Sus scrofa: one gene and its partner. The protein of the gene in region 1 purifies or fractionates together with the protein of each later gene. This does not show direct contact. Links are inferred from orthologs where the notes say so. Each region holds a gene or a part of one and is shown on either strand. Other genes may lie near its edges.

The links.
Region 2: the proteins of PAGR1 (region 1) and NCOA6 purify together in Homo sapiens (affinity purification with mass spectrometry; 3 studies listed by BioGRID and IntAct, with this or other methods). This does not show direct contact. The link is inferred for Sus scrofa from reciprocal best matches to the Homo sapiens genes PAGR1 and NCOA6.

Annotation. Positions count from the first base shown.
Region 1 is NC_010445.4:18,051,854-18,055,593, reverse strand, and holds the start of PAGR1 (PAXIP1-associated glutamate-rich protein 1), read right to left. Parts: upstream 2,916-3,740; 5' UTR 2,440-2,915; coding exon 1,958-2,439; intron 1,796-1,957; coding exon 1,713-1,795; intron 1-1,712. UniProt on the Homo sapiens protein: Its association with the histone methyltransferase MLL2/MLL3 complex is suggesting a role in epigenetic transcriptional activation. However, in association with PAXIP1/PTIP is proposed to function at least in part independently of the MLL2/MLL3 complex.
Region 2 is NC_010459.5:38,145,267-38,148,916, forward strand, and holds part of NCOA6 (nuclear receptor coactivator 6), read right to left. Parts: coding exon 3,035-3,650; intron 989-3,034; coding exon 842-988; intron 1-841. UniProt on the Homo sapiens protein: Nuclear receptor coactivator that directly binds nuclear receptors and stimulates the transcriptional activities in a hormone-dependent fashion. Coactivates expression in an agonist- and AF2-dependent manner.

The DNA.
Region 1 (3,740 bases):
TTTTTTTTTAACGGCCGCAGCCATGGCACATGGAAGTTCAGGGACTGAATCCAAACCACAGCTGAGGCTACGCCCGATCCTTTAACCCAGAGCACCAGGCCCAGGATTGAACCCGTCCCTCTCCAGTGAACCAAGTCACTGCAATCAGATTCTTAATCCACTGCACCAAGCAGGAACTCCTCCTTCGGAGAATTTAAAACAGAATTGGGAGTTCCTGTCGTGGCACAGCAGCAACAAATCCTACTAGGAACCATGAGGTTGCAGGTTCGATCCCTGGCCTTGCTCAGTGGGTTAAGGATCCAGTGTTGCCGTGAGCTGTGGTGTAGGTCGCAGATGTGGCCGGATCACGTGTTGCTGTGGTGTAGGCCAGGGGCTGCAGCTCCAATTGGACCGCTAGCCTGGAAACCTCCATTTGCCACACTTGAGGCCCTAAAAATAAAATAATAATAATTTAAAAAAATTTAAAACAGATTTGAGCTGACTTATGTTTTGAAAGAGAGACGGCTTGGATCAGGGTGTCACATTAAAGACAGAGACTAGTAGCTGAATTTGGAAATGTGGAGGCAGACCTAACAAGACTTGCTGCTGGTTTGAATGTTGACATAAAAGAAAGAGAAATCGGGAGTTCCCGTCGTGGCGCAGTGGTTAACAAATCCGACTAGGAACCATGAGGTTGCGGGTTCAATCCCTGCCCTTGCTCAGCGGGTTAACGATCCGGCGTTGCCGTGAGCTGTGGTGTAGGTTGCAGGCGCGGCTCGGATCCCGCGTTGCTGTGGCTCTGGCATAGGCTGGCGGCTACAGCTCCCATTAGACCCCTAGCCTGGGACCCTCCATATGCCGCGGGAGCGGCCCAAGAAATAACAACAATAACAACAACAACAACAACAAAAAAAGACAAAAGACAAAAAAAAAAAAAAAAAAAGAAAGAAAGAGAAATCAAGAATGGCTCTGAGAGGAGTTCCCGTCTTGGCTCAGAGGTTAACGAACCTGACTAGTATCCATGAGGATTCGGGTTCGATCCCTGGCCCCACTCAGTGGGCTAAGGATCCGGTGTTGCCATGAGCCGTGGTGTAGGTCCCAGATGTGGCTTAGATCTCATGTTGCTGTGGCTGTGGTGTAGGCCAGCAGCTATAGCTCTGATTTGACCCCTAGCCTGGGAACCTCCATATGCCGCAGATGCAGCCCTAAACACACACACACACAAGAGAGAGAGAGAGAATGGCTCTGACGGTAAACTCTAGGCATGGGAAGCTAGGTCAGATTAGGAGGTGTACGCAGTAGCATAGGGATGTGGAGCTAGATAATGACCAAGAAGACTCGGACTTCTGGGATGGGGGTGGGGGGGAAATGAGACCAAAGGAATGGGAAATATGATAGAATTACCTGTGATAATCTTTTAAAAGAAAATTGGGTACCACCTAGACTGGAAGGATGGCAACCACTGAGTGCACGCTCTCCCCTGAAGCTGTGATTTGTGTAGCTACCAAGGAACCAAGCAGAGACCTTTTTTTTTTTTTTTTTTTTGACCACACCCATGGAATGTGGAAGTTCCCAGGCCAAGGTTCGAACCTGTGCCAAAGCAGTGACAATGCTGGGTCCTTTGCCACTAAGCCATCAGAGAACGCCTCAAAGACCTCTTTCAGGGAGTCCCTTTCGGAGTAAGTGGGAACAGAGGCCCCCCCGCGCCCCCCATTCTCCACTCTTGTCTGTACCTGGGGTGCGCCTCCGGTCAATCAGGGAGTCCTTTGGTGTCATTGGCTCATCATCAAAATCAAATTCTGTGGGCATGTGCGGCCTGGGACAGGTGGAGAGAGAGAGGAGGGTGAGGGAGATCCTTCCAAACCTCCACTGGTGCTTCTCCCGGGCCTTCGGGCTCTTCCCCTCCCTCTAACTTCCCATGCTCCTGGGTCCCACCTCCCTCCCTATTTCCTCCTGGCATCAAGGAAGCAATCCTCACTTTTCCTCTTCCTCCTCTTTGGCCTCGGGTTCCTCATCAGATCTTTCCTCTTCACTCTGGGCCTCAGGCGTAGGTGGTCGGCGGGGCAGGATCTCTGCCTGAAGCTCCAGGGTACCGTGGGCAGCCAGCAGTTCATAGAGCCGTTGGATTTCGGAGGGAGGTGGCATCCAGGGCTGCCCATCCTCAGGCAGCTCCACCTCTTCATCGCTGCAGGGCACGCACCAGTCCTCGGAGTCTCCCTGGGCGGGCTCTTCCCCCTCAGTGCTGGGGGCTTCTCCCTGCACTTCCTCGGCCCTGGACCCCTCATGTTCGGCCTCCTCCCGGCCTCCTTCCCCCTCTTCCTCGGCTTTATCGGCCGAAGCAGAGGGGCCTCCGGTGTCCTCCACGGCCAGAGCCTGGAGGCCGGAGGTCACTTCCCCTTCTTCAGACAGAGGCGCCGCCGCGGTGGCTGCCGTGTCTCCATGACCCCGGACAAGGGACATAAGCCACTAGGGAAGGGGCCCAGCGATGCCAGGAGATGCAGGAGTACCAAGCCGGGGATTCCCCCCGCGCCCCCTCCCTCCCTCCACTCCCTCCCAAAAAAAGGGATCACCCCGGGGTTCGGGGACTGTTTCGCTAACCAATCAGGCTCCAACAGCGGTCTCGCGACCAGACCACCGGTTCCCAGGAGGGGGCGCTCAGTCCCCTCCAAGGACCCCGCCCCCCACAGATCGAGATCCGGTACTCCGAGGTTTCCAGCGAGCGGCAGAAACCACTTTCCGGGCCGGAGACGGGCGGACCCGCTCTTCTCGCCTCCGCACTACGCCGCTCTACACCTGGATGCGGCGTCCTCTCCCCACACCTCGAAGGTCCCCCACCTCAGCGGCCGTACGCACCTGGAGCTAAGACCCGCCTCCCGGGCCGCGCAGGGTCAAAGTACGCAGGCGCACAGATACGGCGCGGGAGGCTCCGCTTTAGTCAAAGCTACTTGGGAGAGGAAAGCAAGGGGAGGCTTGCACATGCGCAGGTAGGCGCTCGGGAACGATAGGCTTCGGCCCACAGTAAAGATGGCCACGGGGGTGGCGCATGCGCAAATCACCTAGTAGGTTGTGCCCCAAAGGAGGCTGTACCTCCGGCCCCGCGGCGCAGGCACGTAAGGACCAACTGAGGCTGGAGGCGAGTATCATGCAGTCTCCGTTTATTGGTGTTTCAGACTCATGCAGCATCCGGCATACAAAAAGGGAGAATCAGTTTGATGTATCCTTTTTTTTTTTTTTTTTAAAGACTTTTAGGTTTTTTCCCTACGCTTTTTTTTATATTAAAAAAAACACAAAAAAACCAAAACCAAACCAACTCCGAACCGCGTTGTGGCTCAGACCCTGCCTCCCCAGTGAACTGTCGCGTGCAACAAACCTCTCTCGTCCTCTTAGAAAATAATCGCAGCTCTCTCCGCCCCTTCTTTGCTCCCTGCAGCTGGGAGCTTTGGTCCAATTTTTTCTGTTCTTACAGTTACAAAGCACGTGAATGACTCCAGCCGCGACGCCTTTAACAAACCGACTGGGTTAAAAAGCCCAGGCGGGGCAGGTCAGCTCGGGCCGACCGGGGAGGGTTCGAGAGCCTCGCCCCTCCCTTCTACCAGGTGCTTGTTCGGAACAGTACCCGCCACCCCTGCACAAATCTACAAACGAGGCCCGGCTTGCCAGCTCTGCGACCCCGAGGCACCCCGGGGGTGTCTGGGCCTGGGTAGTCCCTGCAGAGAACAGTCGCGAGCCCGGGCTAGGGAGCCCTCTCCAGACACCGCTCC
Region 2 (3,650 bases), on another chromosome or scaffold:
AATTTTAAAAGTTGTATTTGTTCAAAATGCCATGTGCCTTCATGCCTTTGTACCTATCACTTCCTTTGTCAGAAACATTTTCTTTCTTTCTTTCTTTTTTTTTTGTCTTTTTTGAGGGCTGCACCCCTGGCATGTGGAGGCTGCCAGGTTAGGGACTGAATGGGAACCGTAGCTGCTGGCCTACACCACAGTCACAGCAATGTGGGATCTGAGCCGCGTCTGCGACCTATACCACAGCTCACAGAAATGCCAGATCCTTAACCCACTGAGCAAGGCCAAGGATCGAACCTGCGTCCTCAGGGATGCTAGTCACATTTGTTTCTGCTGAGCCATGATGGGAACTCCAGAAACACTTTCTTTAGTGTCCATTCACTAACTCAGGGGTCAGCAAACTATGGCCATGGGCCAAATCCATTGCCATTGCCAGCTTGTAAATAAACAGTGTTTGGAACACGGCCATGCTCATTCATTCACGTATTGTCTATGGCTACTTTGGTGCTACAAGAACAAAGTTAAGTAACTGCAACAGAGAACATACAACCTGCAAAGCCTAAAGTATTTACTATTTGGTTCATTTCAGGAAAAGAAAAACAAACAAACAAAAAAACCCCCAAAAAACCCTGCTAACCCCAGCTTTACCTCGTTTCATCTCCTTTCTTCAGGTGTTTCTAGATTTTCGAGACATTCTACCTACTTTTGATATGTCAGTTATTGCCCTGAAAGAATAATTATTTATAGGTCCGAAACTAAGAGGAAGAACTAGGACTTATATTTCTCTGTATATCCTTGTGGTCCACACAATGCTCAATAAATGCTTGCTGAATAAATCACAAAAACAAACCTGCATGCTGGACATTTTGATTTGCTTGCAGCTGAGGGGCTCCTGAATTCCCAGGGGTAGTTGCTGTGGTCGAAGGCACCTGACCTTGCATAAAGTTCGGATTGGCCTGTCCTGCTGAGAAGCCAGGTGGGAGGCGTTTAGGCATTCCTTAATAGAAAACAACGAGTAAGGCAGTTACCTAGCAAATTTATACTCTTGCTTAGATGTGGAATGAATAAGGAAGGATGAGCTGCATGAAGCCTCCACTGGCTTAGCTCTCTCTGTCACACTGGTAGGATCTTTAATAATAAGGTTGGGAAAGATGGTTAAAAAAATCAACACAATCTCTTACATGAGCATTGTCAAAATGAAAAAGAAATACTAAAAAATTTACACTTAGAACATGCCAAGGAAAAGATGGCAATCTGCTCCCTAAATGTGATCTGAGGCCACGTCACAGCAAGGTTTAGGGCTCACTTTTCTCTGTGATACTATGGACCCCAAAACTTTACATACTTTAACACAGGTACCAAAGGAATACGCTAAATTCTCTTATAGTCAAATAAGCTGACAAGAAATACTATAAAACAAAGACCTGGGTCCTGATATTAAGCATAGATAGATGACTTCTTTTCCCCTCCATTGAGGGAAATGAATGACAATTTTCTTTATGGAAAATTTCTCCCCAATATTGTACTTGTCTCTTTGGAAGAGACAAGAGATTAGAAATAATTCAAAGGAATGTCAAAGTGACGATATGTTAAATTTATCATTACACCTTCCCCTCAAATGGTTTGCTGCAATTCTGACAGCTATAGTACCAAAAACTGCTTGAACAGAATCTTACTAAAGTAATACTTTCTTTCATAGGAAGGTTTAATTTAAGAAAACAAAATTGTAATAAGAATCTCAGAATCCACTCACTGTTTATAACAGGCCTGGATGTGGCCAGATCACCTAGGTGAGCATATCATTTGCTCTATGAAAGCATCAAGACCTAAAGCTCACTTAAAATTTTTTTGTGTTAGTCCATTTACTTAAGGGCCAAATTTTCAATGTCCTGAAAAACGCTCTGTAGACAAATATGCATTTGTCCTTTCTTTAGCAGTGACAAGTCCCCATTTACATGCTTCCATTGTAGTTAAATCAGTAATCACATTTGCAGGAGAGACTACCCAGCTTCCACTGATCCAAGGCTAGTTGCCCAGAACAGTGAAGTTTGGAGCTGAAATATTCTTGCATTTTCTAAAAACTTCTTAGGATTCAAATATTATAGCCTGCATGTCAGTAAAAGTAATTACAAGAGAGTGAAAAGACTGATGAGCAACTTAATTTTACCAGAAATCATGGGAACATGCCTTTGCTATGTTGCACTAAAGATGCAAGGATTTTTTTCTGGGTAGGCAATGGGTGTCTTTTGGTGGGGGTATGTTTATCAGATGATAGTATTCCTGATACTCTCTATACCTTACTGAAAAGCTCCAAGCACATTCATGTGCACTAGATCAATGATTAATAAGAATAAATAATAAACATGGAGATGGATAAGTTTTACTGTAATCGTTTTACCTCTCACACATTAAGCTCCATTGCTTTTTCTTCATACAAGAGGCACCTTACAAAATAAATAAATAAATCTCCTTTAGGTATAACTGGTGGAATTCCCTCTCTAAGGAGCAGGCATTGGCATTATAAAACTATAAAAGTCAATGATTCCTGAACTTATTCCCCTTTAATACTTTAATCAAATTTAACAAATACCACGCTATCTACTAACCAGGATTATCAAAATTGAAAGCTAGACGGGCCTTTTCCCCAACAAACCCTATACTTATCTTTTCATTTTTGCTCTATTACATAATCTTAATTTTTTCAACAGCTGAGCAGCTTAAGTTGTTAATAAACTCATGTTTCTTCTGGATGTTTTAACTTACTACTACAAGATCAAGCAAAAATATTTTGAAAAAGAAAATGAACATCTCTATATTGAATTTTACCTGTTTTTATCCAGAGGGCTAGCTTAAACATAACCAGTAAGATGCTGCATCATGCATCAAGTTAACTAAGTTATATAATCAAATGCCATCACTGCATCCACAGAAACAAATAATTACATCCTTATTACACTACCCTCAATTAACTCTAAAAATTGAAGTTCTACTAAGATCTATCTCCAGTAAATTCACCAACACAAACAGCTTCAGTGTTCCTCACCTCCTAGGCCTGGATGTAAACTCTGTGGCCCCTGATTTGGTGCTTGCTGCTGCATCACCATGAAGTTAGGTGGCACGTTTCCCTGTTGAACCATAGGATTCCGACCTGGAGAGCTGACAGGCTGCTGAAATCCCTGGGGAAGTGGGTTATTTTGAGGTGGCCTTGGTCCCATCTGCTGCTGAGTTTGGTTAACTGTTGGGGAGGATGCAGGGGATCCCTGCTGGAAGGAGGAGGGCGAGGAGGCAGGAGACTTGTTGGTGAGGTGGGGCTGCTGCAGGGGGGTTGGGACCCGAGAGGGTCCTCCCTGCAAGCTCTTCATCTGAGGAGCTGTGAACTGGCCTGGGTTGCTCATCTGAGAAAAGTTTGTATGGGCTTGTGAGGCTTGCTGGCTGCCAAAGGGATATGGAGGGGGAGGGTGGGAAGGTGTCTGTACCGTGGCTAAGGATGGTCTTGCCTGGAGTTGCTGTTGCATTGGGCCAGGCAAGGGAGCCTTCTTCCACCCTTGATTTCCAGTCATTGTGCCCAGAGAACCCTGGGCTGGAGGAGGCTGAAGGGCTCCCGAAGGCAGCTGATTCCAGCCTGGAGGAACAGGCACCTGAGTTGGGGCAGTAAATTG